Linked DNA regions of Elephas maximus indicus. The protein of the gene in region 1 purifies or fractionates together with the protein of each later gene. This does not show direct contact. Links are inferred from orthologs where the notes say so. Each region holds a gene or a part of one and is shown on either strand. Other genes may lie near its edges. The genes, in order: CRY1 and FBXL3.

The links.
Region 2: the proteins of CRY1 (region 1) and FBXL3 purify together in Homo sapiens (affinity purification with mass spectrometry; 4 studies listed by BioGRID and IntAct, counting the BioPlex papers as one, with this or other methods). This does not show direct contact. The link is inferred for Elephas maximus indicus from reciprocal best matches to the Homo sapiens genes CRY1 and FBXL3.

Annotation. Positions count from the first base shown.
Region 1 is NC_064822.1:174,245,389-174,253,420, reverse strand, and holds the start of CRY1 (cryptochrome-1), read left to right. Parts: upstream 1-5,005; 5' UTR 5,006-5,877; coding exon 5,878-6,035; intron 6,036-8,032.
Region 2 is NC_064832.1:70,175,665-70,183,924, reverse strand, and holds the start of FBXL3 (F-box/LRR-repeat protein 3), read left to right. Parts: upstream 1-5,128; 5' UTR 5,129-5,536; exon of another isoform or gene 5,537-5,579; intron 5,580-8,260. UniProt on the Homo sapiens protein: Substrate-recognition component of the SCF(FBXL3) E3 ubiquitin ligase complex involved in circadian rhythm function. Plays a key role in the maintenance of both the speed and the robustness of the circadian clock oscillation.

The DNA.
Region 1 (8,032 bases):
TGCTTAACATCCAGAATACATTCTGTGAAATAGGATGTTAGGCAATTTGGACGTTGTGTGAACACCATGTTACAAGCAGGCAGCCCCGGATTAGGAACCCAGCTCTGCCCGCTCTTCCACCCACCTAAGGAGCAGGAGCAGCCCAGCCTGCAGCCCCAAGGCTGCCTGCCAGCCCAACAAAACCCAACAGCTGTATTCACTGGGTACAGGAGGCCCACGGATGTGCGACTGGGGGCCAGGTGGGGGCTGCGCTAGCAGTCAGATTGAGGCTTTGCACACCTCCAGGCACAGGGCAGGGCAGCGGGGGGAGGGGTGCACAGCAGCAGGGAGAAGTGGCTGTGGGGACCAGGCAGGGAGCAGCTGTGCAGGTGCCTGGTGCATGGCTGGCAGTGGCAGACCCTGGCTGCCCCACTCTGCTGGTGCAGCTGCTACAGCCACCTGGACCAGGAGCAAAGCAGCCTCAGCAGGTTTGCTGGGAGCGAACAGCTGCGTGGCTGCTGGGCCTGTGAATGGCCAGGAGGAGGGGAAGGAGATGAAGGAGGAAGCTCTTCTGGGATTGAGATGCACCCTGGAGCTCTCCAGCTCATTTACTCTGGGAGTCTGGGGTCTTTAAAACCATTAGGAGGAAATAATAAACAAAAGGAGAGCTGCTTTCCCTTAAAAAAAAAAAAAACCCTTATGGGGCCATGAATGCATATGCAGTCGGACATTGCCCAAATGGATGTTATACAGCACATGACTGCATATAATTTTAAATATTCTTCTATAAAACAAAGGCATCTGACTGTGTAGATAATAACAAAAATGGATAAGATTTCAAAGAATGGGAATTCCAAAACACTTAATCATGCTCATGAATGACCAAGAGGCGGTCATTCAAACAGAACAAGAGGATACTACATGGTTTAAAATCAGGAAAGGTGTGCAGCAGGCAGGGCCAGATTAAGGCATGTGAGGACCCTAAACACGGATAATCTGTGGTGCCTCCTCCTCTGCTTATTCACACATTCCAAAGGGATATATGAGTTATATATACACATTACACATGTGTGTGTCTCAGCTATCTATGATGTAATTTCTTTTTAAACGTGACTATAACATTTGCGATTGAAAGCAAAGGTGATGTATGCCATTTTAGTGGAATGAGATGAACTGTAGCTTTTGTCAATTTCATTTAGTTCCCTGCCAGTTCCCTTCCACTGCAGTGGTCACTCTTCCTGTGTCCCGTCTGCTTGGCATCTATAGGTCTTTGCTTTGGGCAAATGGTGCCTCTGTTTCTTGTTGCCCTCAGCACGTGTTTACCTTGCTTATTGGGTAGTCCATCCCTGGTATCAGGGTTGTATCCTTTCACTGTACTTATTCAACCTGTATGCTGGCAAATAATCTGAGAAGCTGGACTATATGAAGAAGAACATGGCAGCGGGATTGGAGGAAGACTCATTAACAACCTGTGATACGCTGAAGGCACAACTTTGCTTGCTGAAAGCAAGAGAACTTGAAGCACTTACTGACGAAGATCAGAGACTACAGCCTTCAGTATGGATTACACCTCAACATAAAGAAAACAAAAATCCTCACAAGTGGGCCAATAAGCAACATCATGATAAATGGAGAAAATATTTTAAAGTTGTCAAGGATTTCTTTTAACTCAGCGCCACAATCAATGTCCATGGAAGCAGCAGTCAAGAAATGAAACAATGTATTGCACTGGGCAAATTGCAAAAGACCTCTTCAAAGCAATAAAAAGCAAAGATGTCACTTTGAGGACATGACCCAAGCCATGGTATTTTCAATCACCTCATATACATGCAAAAGCTGAACAATGAATAAAGGAGACAAGAAGAAATGATGCCCTTGAATTACAGTGTTGGCAAAAAATATTGAAAATACCAAGGACTGCCAGAAGAACAAAAAAAACCTGTCTTAGAAGAACTACAGCCAAAATGGTGCTTAGAAGCAAGGATGGCTAGAGTTCATCTCACATACTTTGGACATGTTATCAGGAGGGACCAGTTCCTGGAAAAGGACATCATGCTTGGTAAAGTAGAGGGTCAGCAAAAAAGAGGAAGACCCTCAGTGAGAGGGACTGACACAGTGGCTGCAACAATGGGCCCAAACATAGCAATGACTGTGAGGATAGTGCAAGACCGGGCAGTGTCTCATTCCTATGAGTAGGAACCAACCCAACAGCACCCAACAGCAACAACAAAACATGGACTGCCAGAAGAATGAATAAACTTTGGAAGAAGTACAGCCAGAATGTTCCCTAGAAGGGAGGATGGTGAGACTTTGTCTCACATACTTTGTACATGTTATCAGGAGAGACCAGTCCTTGAAGGACATCATGCTTGATAAAGTAGGAACCAAAAACACCAAACCCATTGCTGTCGAGTCAATTCTGATTCATAATGACCCTACAGGGCAGAGTACAACTGCCCCATAGGGTTTCCAAGGGGTGGCTGTTGGATCTGAACTGCTAACTTTTTGGTTAGCAGCCAAGCTCTTAACCACTATGCCATCAGGGCTTGGTAAAGTAGAGGTCAACAAAAAAGAGGAAGACCCTCAATGAGATGGATTGACACACCGGCTGCAACAATAGGTTCAAATGCTGCAACAATTGTTAGGATGGTGTAGGACCAAGCAATGTTATTGTTCTGTTGCACACAGGGTCACTATGGGTCAGAACCGACTCAATGGCGCCCAACGACAACAGAAAGCAAAGAAAGGATGATATACCCTCCCCGTGGCAACAGGGGTAGGGAAGAGTGTTTAGACATATTGGCTTTTTAGATGACTTAATTTACTTTATTGCCATTTCCTTCTTCCTTTTAACCTTGCCACCCAAACTGGTGGCAAACAATATACATTCATTCATTCAACAAACATTTTAGTGTATAAACGTCAGGGTCTGGACTAGGTGTTGATGATGCAAAAAGATGAACTAGACAGAAACCTTGCCCTTAGGAAGTCAAACTTTAATGGAGTCAGAGACACTATATTACTGAGCACTGTCTTCCTACTAGGTACAACATGCTGAGGATACAGTAGAGAATACCAAAAAAAAAAAAAAAAAACCCAAATCCATGGCTGACAAGTCAGTTTCAACACATGGCTTCCCCATGTGCTACAGAGAAATAAGCTCCATAGGGTTTCCTTGGCCCTAATCTTTATGGAAACCCTGGTGGTGTAGTGATTAAGAGCTATGTCTGCTAACCAAAAAGGTCGGCAGTTCAAATCAACCAGGCACTCTTTGGAAACTCTATGGGGCGATTCTTCTCTGTCCTATAGGGTCGCTATGGGCCGGACTCAACAGCAATAGGTTTGGTTTTTCTTTTTTTTTAATCTTTACAGAGCCCTGGTGGTGTAGTAGAAACCCTGGTGGTGTAGTGACTAAGAGCTATGGCTGCAAACCAAAAGGTTGGCAGTTCAAATCCATCAGGAGCTCCTTGTAAACCCTATGGGGCAGTTATACCCTGTCCTATAGGGTTGCTATAAGTCCGAATTGACTCAACAGCAATGTATGTGGTGTGTGTGGTGGTGGTGGTGCAGTGGTTAAAAGCTTGGCTGCTAATCAAAAGATTGGCAGTTCAAATCCACCAGCTGCTCCTTGGAAGCCCTACGGGTCAGCTCTACTCTGTTCTATAACACTGGGTTTGATTTTTTGGTTTGGTTTGGAATCTTTACAGAAGCTGATCGTCAGGCCTTTCTTTCAAGGCACCACTGGGTGGGTTTGAACTGGCATCCTTTTGGTTCGTGGCCAACCTCAAAACGTTTGGGCCACCCAAGAGCCTTAGGTACTACAGTAAAACCAAACACCAAACCCCTTGCAGTTGAGTTGATTCCAACTCATAGCAACACTACAGGACAGAGTAGAACTGCCCCACAGTGTTTCCAAGGATCTGAACCAGCCCAGTGCTGTCGAGTCAATTCTGACTCATAGTGACCCTATACGACAGGGCAGAACTGCCCCATAGAGTTTCCAAGGAGCACCTGGTGGATTCGAACTGCCGGCCCTTTGGTTACCAGCCATAGCACTTAAACACTACACCACACTAGGTTTAGGTTTTACAGTGTATTAAGTGATGTATCAGACACATGTGTGGAGGGCTGAGGGGGAGGCCCTAAACCCACCCTGGGAGTCAGAAATAATTTCACAAATTAGGTAACACTTCATCTGAGTCTAAAGGGATGTGTAGAAATACACTAGGTAGCTCAAAGTTGGTTATAGTAAGCAGCAGGTTCCAAAGGATATTTTTATAGAGACAAAAAGAATAGCAACCTCACAAGTTAGGAGTCACAGATTGCAGGCTTCAGGAGGGCTGTGGTTTTTGTCTCTTTTACGGAGCACAGTTCTACTGACACACGTGGGGTCACCATGAGCAGGAATCCAATCAATGGCAAGCGATTTGGGTTTTTCTGGTATTCTCTCTTGTACCCCCCGCCCCCTGAGCCTTGAAAATGTCTGGCACATAACAGGCTCTCAGTAAGTAATTGTTGAATGAATACAAGGCCATCATGTGTTCAAGAAATGACATGGCCCACAGTCCATTATCTCTACAAAGGCAGGCAAGGGCCGCATCAGGAACAGGTAAATCGACACATCACTGTCGGAGTCCAAGCGTACCGCGCCACAGACGCACAGAATGGTAGGAGCGCCAGTTATAGACACGCCAAAGCAGGGCTCTCCGACCAAAGCTGGACCGAAGCACATGGTTTGGGCTGGAAGTCTAAGTGGAGCCTCCCAAACTCCTGCTTCCACCCCAATCTCCCCTTCTCCTGGCCAGGCTTCACGGTTGACTCCCAGAGGGCCGCCTTCCCGGCCTCCCACCGCCCTACGGAAGGAATCGCCCTGCGCGCTCCAGACCGCAGGGACGCAGAGAGAGCGCACGCGCGCCTCCCAGTGCTGAGCGCGTGCCCGCGAGCTCCCCGCATCCCCGTGCTCATCCGGGCCTCAGCGAGCCTCAGCCAATAGTGGCCGCTCACGGCCCCCGGGGGCGGAGCCAAGCCTTCCCTCACATGGGGCCTGTGGTCATCGCTGGCGCCTGTGGGGACCGCGACCAGACGGCCGAGGAAAGGGCCAGAGGCAGGGATCCCAGCACTGGGGCGAGGATCTACAGTCTGGAGCTGCTGCTGCTCTCCGGAAGTGATCGAAACACGAGAAGATTCCTCAGCCAGAGCCGGTGTAGTAAACACACTTCAGAAACGTGAGGTGCCGGTGGTCACGTGGGGAGTGTGCTCGCCAATGAGGAGCCGGGGGCGGGGCCGAGGCCGCTGACGCGTCGGCGGCGGCGGCGGCGGAATCACCCGGGCAGCCTCGGGACTGGTCACTGGCCGGCAACCGTCCAGCGTCCTCGACCACCGCCTTCGTCCTCGTTCGTTTGTCCCGGGCCGCGAGGCAGAGTTCCTGACAGTGGCCGAATCCTCTCTCATTTCTCTGGGTGACTCACCTGCGCCGGGCCGTTTTCTCCTCGAGGGCAGCCTTGGTGGGGCGAGGCTTCCGTGACGAACCTTCTGGGGCCGCCTTTGCCTTCTCGGGCCGTCGTGGCGGCTCGCGCTCCTGGAACTTGCTCACCCTCGGGGGTTCCGAGGCCGTCGAAGTTATGCGTCTCCTCCAGGCGGTTGAGGCCTGCGCCGGGTCCTAAAGGGCGTCACACCCGGGCTGGGCAGCCTCCATTCATCTTCCAACTGCGCCTCCAGCGCCCTCTCCTTCGCACGTCCCCTCCTCGGATTCATTTTTTCCTGTCCCCCCTCTGCCGCCCTTTCTTACTCCTTGGGCTTGGCGATTCTCCTGGAAGCGAAGGGGTCGGCTATGAGCCGGACCTTGCTTGCTTGAAATTCTCTCTGGAGGAACTCGGCGCTGACCCGCTGGCCGCCGGGATGGGGGTGAACGCCGTGCACTGGTTCCGAAAGGGGCTCCGGCTGCACGACAACCCCGCCCTGAAGGAGTGCATTCAGGGCGCCGACACCATCCGCTGCGTCTACATCCTCGACCCCTGGTTCGCCGGCTCGTCTAACGTGGGGATCAACAGGTGGCGGTGAGTCCATCCCCCGAGTGGCGTTAATGTGTGTTTGGTCACTCAGGACCTTCTCTGCGATCGGCCAAGTCTGAGAAATTTAGCCCTGGGAGCGCCTTGCTTGTAACGTTTAAGAACTGTAGCTGTTTCATGTAAACATCCAGGGGAATTGGCTAGAGAGTGTTGACCAGCTGGGACCCCTTGGCCTTCAGCTGTGAGTGGTAATAGAAGCTCTGCCCTCGAATTTATGGAGAATTCTTAGTGGTGGAGCTAAAGAAACACTCTTTTCATCCTTAATGGCCTGTGGGTTGATTTCGTTGCCCTCTGTGTGGTGTTCGAAAGGATTGTGGCTTTTAATATTTACGTTTGTGTGAATATAGGTAAATAACAACGACAACAAAAAAAACCCGTTGCTGTCGAGTCGAATCCGACTTATAGCGACCCTATTGGACGGGGTAGAACTGCCCCATAGGGTTTCCAAGGAGCGGCTGGTGGATTCGAACTGCTGACCTTTTGGTTAGCAGCCGAGCTGTTAACCACTGCACCACCAGGGCTCCAAGGTAGCTGTTAGTATTGAGAAAATCATTCCTTTAAACTACCAAACCAAAAAAAAAAAAAAAAACCTATTGTTGTCTAGTCCAATCTGACTAATAGTGACCCTATAGGACGGGTAGAGCTGCCCAACAGAGTTTTCAAGAACATCCAGATGGATTTGAACTGCCGACCTTTTGGTTAGCAGCGGTAGCACTTAACCACTACGCCACCAGGGTTTTCAAGTCCAGTTTTCTTCCACCTTGAGGCAACCATAGGAAAAGCAAGGAAGCAGCATTTTCTCGTTTCCTTTGCTCAGCTCCTCCCAACTCCTCCTTGTGGCTGAGGAGACAAAGCACACTTTTTCTTTCTAGGCGAAGTATAATCCTTCTAGGGATCAGAGAACTGGGAGAAATCTTAGAGAAGCTTGATGATCTTTTCCTGGAATACCAGGCTAGGTGATTTGTTAGGCTCCCTGATAGACATGAAATAATTCATGCAAACATTATTGATCACCTGTCATACGCCAGGTACTGCTTTAAATGCTAGCGGTATAACAGTAAGAAAAATAGACTAAAATTTCTGTCCTCTTTGAGTTTATGTCCCTGGAAATAAAATACATAGTATTTTAGGTGATGGTAAGTGTCGTGGAGAAAAACAGAGCAGAGAAAAGGTTTAAGGAATACGGAGTTGGGGATGCAATTTAAAATGTGATCAGGGAAAAGCTCACAGGTTCGCTCAAAGGTGGCATTTGAGCAAACACTTGAACCCAAAAACACCCAAACCCACGGCCATCAAGTCGATTCCAACTCATAGCGACCCTACAGGACAGAGTAGAACTGCCCCGTGAGTTTCCAAGGAGCGCCTGGTGGATTCGAATTGCCGACCTTTTTGGTTAGCAGCCGTAGCACTTAACCACTACGCCACCAGGGTTTCCAAAAAGAGGTGATGAAATATGAATATCCAGGGGGAAGAGCATTCCAGGCAGAGGGAACACTAAAGGAAAAGGCCCTGAGGTGGAAATGTGACCTTTGAGGAACAGCAGAAGAAGCCAATATGATTTCAGAACAGAATAAGTGAGGGGAAAAGTAGTAGGAGAAGAAGCCAGAGATATGATAGGACCAATTGAGTAGAACTTTGTAGACAGTTGTTAAGATTTGGGCTTTTACTCTGGGTGAAATAGGAATAATTGCAGGGTTGTGAGCAGAGAAGTGATGTCATCTGACTTAAGATTGAAAACAATTTCTCTGGCTGTGGTTCTGAGAATAGACTGAACTGAGGGTAAAGGGGTAGAGGTGGACAAAAAGCCGGGAGACCAGTTAGGAGCTGTTGCACTCATCCAGGTGAGCGACGATAATGGCTTGGTCCATGGTGATAATGGTGATGTGGTGAGAAGTTGTTGAGAGGAGTTGGAGACAACTCACATAGACAGCTCTTGATTTCAAGGGGTTTTGCTCTAAGAGAATCAGAGAGAGAAATGGTGTGAG
Region 2 (8,260 bases), on another chromosome or scaffold:
CTGAATTTAGGTGTTGGTTTTTTTTTTTTTTTTTTTTTTTTTGGCACCAAAAGAATGGAGCAAGTACGCAAGACGTGGGAAACAGGCTCTAAGCATGAATTAAATGCTGGAAGTCAAGCAGACAGAAGAGTTAACTATAACTATACTTTCAAAATTTCAAGTCAATAAAAGCTGGAAACACTATCACAGCAGGATTTCCCGTCAAGGAGGTGTTTGGAATTTGTGTTTTGAGTTTCCCACTATTAAATACATAGCAATAATAGGTTTGCTATAAAAATTTAATATTAAAAAGGGAGATTCAGAAAAAGAAAATACTTTTGTGTATCTAAAAGGCACATCCATACAAAGCAGTGACTGGTTTTGAAGTAGACTTGCCATGGTATAGGTATGGAAGCAGGTACCGCCATGGTAGGGGAGCGGGGGATAGAGCACCTCTATGAGGCAGGAGAACAGAGCCTGTGTCACTGCCTAAAACCAGAAGCTTGTTGTGAATCTCTAACTATACAGCAGGTTTAAAAAGTTGGTGCCTACAGTTCTGGCTGATAGGAAATGTGTGCCCGCGAGGGAAGAGGACACACACACAGCTTCCCAGGCAGTACAGGACACAAGTTGCCCTTTGCTTCAGTTGCTGGGCCTGCAAGATAATAGACTGGAGACTCAGAAACACGAATATAAGACCTGCCCTAGACTGAGAGTCTGAGTGGCCCTAGACTGAGGGTCTGAGTGGCCAAGTGGAGGCATTCACACAAGTGTAGAGAGAGATGGAGAAAGGAGAGGGCACAGAAAGAATGATAAACAAAGAAATCTTTTGTTCTCAACATAAGCTTGCAGGTTAACATTTCAAAACTGATGGAGAAAAGCAAGGATGAGAATAGCAGCCAGCAAAATTAATAATTAGGGACAAATTTACTTCAAACAAATTGGAAATAATACTACAATATATAAATGACCTCAAAATTGAAATGTTTAGGGTCCTCAAAGATAAAGAAGGAATAAAAATCATTTTTAAATGATTTAAAAACTAGATGGATATAAGAACAAATTAGAAATTTGGGGAATGAAATGTTCAATAGCTGGTAGAAACTCTAGAAGGAGACAAAGAGAAAATCAATGAGTTGAAAGAAAGGCAATACACAAAGAAAGAAAAAGATAAAAACATGAAAGGACAACTAAATGTCGAAGATAAATTGAAAGGACAAAACATAAAGAGCTTAAGATCAAAATAGAAGAATTGGTGGCAAAGGACTATTTGAAGAGATAGTGGCTTGGGTTTTAATGTCAGGGAGGGACAGGAGATGAGTTTGTAGGAGAAGTGATAACTGAGATCCCTGCATAAAGCAAGAATTTTGAATATCTTCATCCTCCTTGAGGAATGGCTGGCCTAGGGCACATGGAGAAGAACAGCAAACTCCGAGTTAAAAAAAAAAAAAAACCTTTTTGAGAATTGAAAACCATGGGTCTAGTCAGAAAACAAAACAAAACAAAAAACAATTACGGTACATCCTACAAATACTGGACCAGTACTCCTTAACAGTGTGAAAGTCATCAAAAACAAGGAATTACAAGGCTGTGCATAAGGAACTAGGGCAGCATCACCTGAGCCATCCTGACCAGCAGTGTACCAAGGTGAAGGTTATGGTGGGGGTTGTCTGCCCTGGAGAATTTAAAAACAATTTGAAAAAAATGACTAAAAATCAGCCCGCTTTTTACTATCACCATGCACTGGCAATTCTAAATAAGATCAGTAATAAAATTTTCTTCCCTGCTGCACCAAACTCCTCCACAGTTAACCAGCCCCCCACAACTCCTATGCCACTGACCTTGACTAATACGACTGATAAATGTAAGTAAGGATTGTCTGCTTCAAAAATAAGCACAAGTTTCTTCTTTTAAAAAGGTGAAATAGAGAAGAAACCATTCTTTGATGGTTACGGGGGTGGGGAGGGAGAGAGATATTCGCTAATCAGACGGTAGACAAGAATTATTTTAGGTGAAGGGAAGGACAACACACAATACAGGGTAAGTCAGCACAACTGGACTAAACCCAAAGCTAAGAAGTTTCCTGAATACAACCAAACAATTCGAGGGACAGTACAGGCATAGGGGGTCTGGGGACCATGGTTTCAGGGGACATCTAGGTCAACTGGCATAACAAAGTATATTAAGAAAATGTCCTGCATCCCACCTTGGTGAGTAGCATCTGGGGTCTTAAAAGCTAGCAAGCGGCCATCTAAGATGCATCAATTGGTTTTAAACCACCTAGAGCAAAGGAAAATGAACAACAGCAAAGACAGAAGGAAAATATGAGCCCAAGAGACAGAAAGGGCCACATAAGCCAGAGACTCCATCAGCCTGAGACTGGAAGAACTAGAGGGTGCCCGGCTTCCACCGATGACTGCCCTGACAGGGAACACGACAGAAAATCCCTGATGGAGCAGAAGAAAAGTGGGATGTAGACCTCGAGTTCCAGTAAAAAGACCAGACTTAATGGTCTAAGACTGGAGGGAGCCCAGAGATCATGGCCCCCAGACTCTCTGTTAGCCAAAAACTAGAACATTCCCAAAGCCAGCTCTTTAGACAAAGATTAGGCTGGACTATAAGACATAAAATGATACCGGTGAGGGGTGTGCTTCTTAGCTCAAGTAGACACATGAGACTATGTGGGCAGTTTCTGTCTGGAGGCGAGGAGAGGCGGCAGAGGGGACAGGAGCTGGCTGAATGGGCACAGGAAATACAGAGTAGAGAGGAGTTGTCACATTGCAGGGAAAGCAACTAGGGCCATATAACAATGTGTGTGTATGAGAAACTGACTTGGATGGTAAACTTCTACTTAAAGCACAATAAAAAAAGAAAAAAAGGTGAAATAAAAGTTTTAAATAACAATTACAAGGATGAAGAAGGAGCATTCAGTGAGTTAGGTGTGTCAAGGTCCTTGTCTTGCACGAGAGGAGGGTAACCTGTAATGGGAAAACCCACGCTGGAGGGTAAAAGCTCTAATGTGATATTCTAGTTATGTTTGCTGATTTGGTTTAATGTATTTTGCTGATCATTTATACTCTTAACCTAGCTTTAAAGAAATGGGCCTGTTTTTCTTGCCTTTCTTAGAACTTTCTATTGTCCCTCATCATCTAGTCACAGAGGGACCTAAAAAAATGTTGCAGTTTAGGTACCTGGTCGCTATGAGTCGGAATCAACTTGACAGCAATGGGTTTTGATTTGGTTTTACATTATTATGTTGCTATAGATTTTGTAGTTTGCCTTGATGACCTGATAGTCAGGCCCTTAAAAAAAAGACTGTCATTTTCCCACACTGAATCTTAATGCTGTTTTAAATATCAATTCTTAGCTCAATTTCTTGAGGGAAGGGGAGGAGTGAAGGCTTCCCTGGACATCACTGCTATCAGTCTCCTACACACAGCCGAGATAGTTCAGAAGACGTCTTGGGATGGAAAATTACTTTCTTTTGCTTTGTTTTATGGGGTAGAGGAGGCAGAGTGCATGATTCAGTTATGTTTTTGCACATAGGACATTTCTAGCTTTAGGAAAACTCACTACCCCAAAATCTCAATTTTTAAAACAAGTTAACTAGGTAGCAGTTACACACAAAGATGCCTTGATTTACAAAAAGCATCACCAGAGGTTTTCTTTCAAATAGCTCTCTGCTCCTTTACTTTACTTTTCCCGTTACGTTTCAGAAAGCTACTTATAAATTCCAGGAGTTTTTTACTTCATAGAAGCCTTGGAGGCGCAGTGGTTAAGCACTTGGCTGCTAACTGAAGGTTGGCAGTTTAGCATTTCAAACCCACCAGCTGCTCCGTGGGAGAAAGATGTGGTAATCTGCTTCTGTAAAGGTTTACAGCCCCGGAAACCCTATACAGCAGTTCCACTCTGTCCTATAGGGTCACTGTGCGTCAGAATCCACTCAACCGCAATGAGTTTAGTTTTGGTTTGGGTATCTACTTCACAAGGAGCCCTGGTGGTGGTGCTGTGGTTAAGCGCTCAGCTGCTACCGAAAAGTGGACCACGGTTCAAACCTACTAGCGGCTCTGTGGGAGAAAGAAGTGAGTCTGCACCCATAAAGGTTACAGCCTTGGAAACCCTATGGGGCAGTTCTGCTCTGTCCTATAGGGTCACAATGAGTTGGACTTGACTCAGCAACAACAGCTTCTGGTTTACGAACCTGAAGGTTGGCAGTTCAAACCCACCCACTGGTGCCTCAAAAAAAAAGGCCTGGCAATCTGCTTGCAAAATCCTATGGAGTCCTACTCTGTAACATGCGTCAGAATCCACTCAGTGGCAACGACTTCAACTACTTCATAAAGCAGAGGTGGTTTTAAAAGAGTAATAACTCTGATTATAAAACTCATTTCAGGAAAATTGGGAAATACAAATATTTTAAAAATAAAAAAACATTCTGTAATTCCAGGGTTAACAGGTTACCACTCTGGTATGTTTCATTGCAATATTTTAAAAAATTACGTATATATTAGGTTTGTGTATTAAAACAACAAAAAAACCAAACCCATTGCCATGGAGTCGATGCTGACAGCGATCCTACAGAATAGAGTAGAACTGCCCCCATAGGGTTTCCTGGGAGCGGCTGGTGGATTCGAATTGCTTACCTTTTGGTTAGCAGCCAGGCTCTTAACCACTGCACCACCAGGACTCCTGTGTATTTTTAAAGCCTGTGGTTTTAACCCCTAAGGTTACAGATCGCAAGTCATGGCCCTCCCAAGTGCCAACACCTCACCCTGAGAAGTGTGTCAGCTGTCAACAGGTACTGTTTATCTTTCTGCCCGGTGGAACCGGCTGCCAAGTTACAAGAGACACTCTAGAGACACTCCTTCCTTTCTTTTCTCGGTTCCACTCCCTAAACTTTCTTTTCAGCCCAGACAGTCTCTTGGACAACCACCTAGCTCCAGCCCTCTCTGTCTGCTCCCAAACAAAAAATTCCCTAAAAGTAGCAGTCACTGCTGAGAGGGAGGCGGCGGACTCTCCTTTAGAAAAGAAGAGGCGGATGAACACAGCTGAGAGGCACAGACGTTCGACCGCTTCTGCGCGCGCTCCCACGTGGGCGCGGCCCCGCTCCTGTCCTCCCCGCCCTCCGCGAGCGCGCCAGTGGCGAACGCGCGCCCGCCCCACTCCGGCGGAGAGGCGCCGGGGAAAGCGCGCGGCCGCGAGTTACGGGCGCCATTTTGGACTCAGTGTCTGGACGGAAGCGCCGGGAAGCTACGCGGTGGCCGCAGCTCGCTGAGGGTGTCTCTTGCGGTGACAAGGGGTCCTGGGAGAAAAACGTAGGCGGCGTGAGGCTGAGAAGGAAGACTTCTCCCTGGGCAGCCAGAGCCGCGAAGGTGGAGCCGCGTTGGCGCTCGCTGCGGGACCAGCGCCTCGGATGCGGGCGGAGCGCGGGGGGCCGCGGCGACGGGAGCGCGAAGCCGGGGGCCTTGGGGGCCTCATGTGAGAGCCGCGGGACCAGCCGCCGCCGCCGTCCCCGGAGCCCGGGGTGGTGTGTGGGCGAAGCCGCCCACGGCAGCAGGTAACGGCGGATGGGCAGGACCGGAGCGCCGTAGCAAAGGCGGGTCAGTGGAGGGTCCACCGGCCATTTCTGGGCAGAGGAACGGGCGGAGGGGCGCGGGGTCCCTGACACGCGCGGACCGCCCCTCGGGAGGCCGGGCGGCGCCCAGACATTGGAGCCTGTTTGGGGGCGTTTCCCTCCGGTGCTGTCTTCAAAACATGTCAACAAGGCGTGGTGCGTGTGCGGCGGCCGCGTGCAGCCCGCCCCGCGACGCTGCCGCGCCCTGGGCTCGCCTCGGCTGTCGCCCGGCTTTACTACCCGCACCAGGGTTTGGTGACAGGCACCGTGGAGCTCGCTTTCTGCGGAGCTCTTCCCGGCGACGGCTACGCCGGGTTTGTAACTTGAGAAATTAGAAGTATTAAAACGTCAAAACAAACTGCCAGGGTAGAGCGCACGAGCTCTGTCCAATCCGTGGAGGTGGCGCAGGGCGGAGGGGAGGCGGCGACGCCCGCGCCGCGTAGCGGAGTGGAAAACTTGGTCAACTTGAGATGAGCAGCTTCGCGCCTACTTTTGGCGTGAGCAGCCTTTTTTAGGCTGCAGTTACAATGATCAGGCAGAGCAGCCCGCTAAATGATTGGTGTCAATCTCCCTGCCAGAAGTTGTCGTCCAATAATTAGAATCTTTTTTTGTAACTTGAATGTTAAGTAGTTTCTGCAATCGGTGAGATATTTCTAAAAATGCCACCAATTCCGAGGTATGTACGTATGACCATGAGACATTTTTCACCACGTTCTCCCTGCCATCCAATTCTGAGAGTTCAACTCTTACCACTCTTCTTTTCTTGTATTCCAGCTCAAGAAGGCATTTTGAAATTAGTCAAAGCAGAACATAAGTGGAAAGGAAATATGCCGAAACAGGCTCTTTTAGTTTTCCAGAGCTAAATACAAACGAACTTTTAAAATTATTACATGCCCAGGGTAGGTAAGGAGCTCTGGTGTTTCAGTAGTTATGCATGCCGCCGCTAACATCAGCCACACTCCTTGGAAACCCTATGGGGCAATTATGTTCTGTTGTATACCCAAAAACCCACTGCGGTCTAGTCGATTCCTACTCGTAGCAGTCTGTCGTTTAGGGTGGCTATAAGTCGGAATCAACTCGGTAACAGTGGGTTTGGTTTGGCTTAGTTTATGTACAAGGAGCCCTGGTGGTGCAATGGTTAAGTGTTTGGCTGCTCAGTTCCAGCCCTGTCCCAGTTGTGGGAGAAAGACCAGGCAATCTGCTTCCATAAAGATTACAGTCAAGAAAACCCTGTGGGGCAGTTCCCTGTGACATAGGGTTGTCGTATGTTTAAAATTGACTTGACAGCACCTAACAGTGGTTAGGAGCTTTGCTGCTAACCAAAAGGTTGGTTGTTTGAATCCACCAGCCACTCCATGGAAACCTTATGGGGTTGTCCTATGGGTTTGCTGTGAGTCAGAATCAACTCGATGGCACATAACAACAACAAACGTATGTAAAAGTGCCTGAAACGAGGGTGCACAGCCAGGGTTCTCTTCTGCTCTTCATCTGTTTGATGGTCAACTTGACTGCCCTTTCCAGAGTTACATGGAAATGTTGAGTTGGCTCAGTGACTTCCTGTGTTGGCTGCTATAGTTTTTCTTCATTAGGTTGCTTTTTGTCCCTTCATAGTCTCTCACCAAAAGCTGCAGTGGCCTAAATTGCGTTAATTATTCGGGACTTGGAAAAGTTGCAGTTGGAAATTAAATTGCCAAGGCTCTGCAGAGGCCTGGGTTTCATTGACGTTTATTTTCCAGCTCATCCGCTCCACGCCTCTTCAAATATAAAAGGCGTTTTAAGTAGGAGATAAATAAGTCCATTGACGTAAGTCATTTGCAGACTGGTGGATGTATAAATAGATATAATAAACTGCTTTTGAAAGCACTGTAAATTTTTGCATGAATAGATGAAGTCAACCTGGAAAAAACAACATTTAGAAGTTTTATTATGGGTCCACTCCCTTCTCTTATTTTTATGCATGTGAAGATAATAACCAAAAAACCTGTTGCTGTCGAGTGGGTGCCAACTCGTAGTGACCCTATAGGATGGAGTAGAACTGCCTCGTACGGTTTCCAAGGAGCGGCTGGTGGGTTTGAACTGTGGGCTTTTTTTTTTTGGTTAGCAACCAAGCTCTTAACCACTGTACCACCAGGGCTCCCTGAAGATAATACAGAGAACGTTTTTATCTGCATTTGGCCTTATATTTGTAGATGCTCTTTTTTTGATAGGTTTATATACTAATGTACTAATAAATTATGACACTACGGTTCTATTACATGAAAATTTAGATATTTGTTCAGCTATTCATAAACTAATAAATGCTTAAAATATACTTTTGTGATCATATAATCTTTTTATATCTCAGCTGAGAGAAATACAATTATCCCAGTATTGCATACTTTTTAATATTTTTCAGGTTTTTATCCCCTTCTCAACTTGGAAAAGTATTAAAATATACGTTGTTTAGAACAGGGCTGTAATAGACAAAGTAAGTACTTGTTGTTAGGACCAGCAAAGTGTTAACAGAGAAAATTGTGTGAATAAGGCGGTTGTTTTATTTCTGTTTATATGTCTAAGGTAAAATGGATACAGGCAGTTCTGGGTTACTAGCATCCTGACTTAGGGACAACTCTTTAATGTTATATAAATTTGTCCTCACTTTGCAGTGATTGAACCAACCCCTAACTA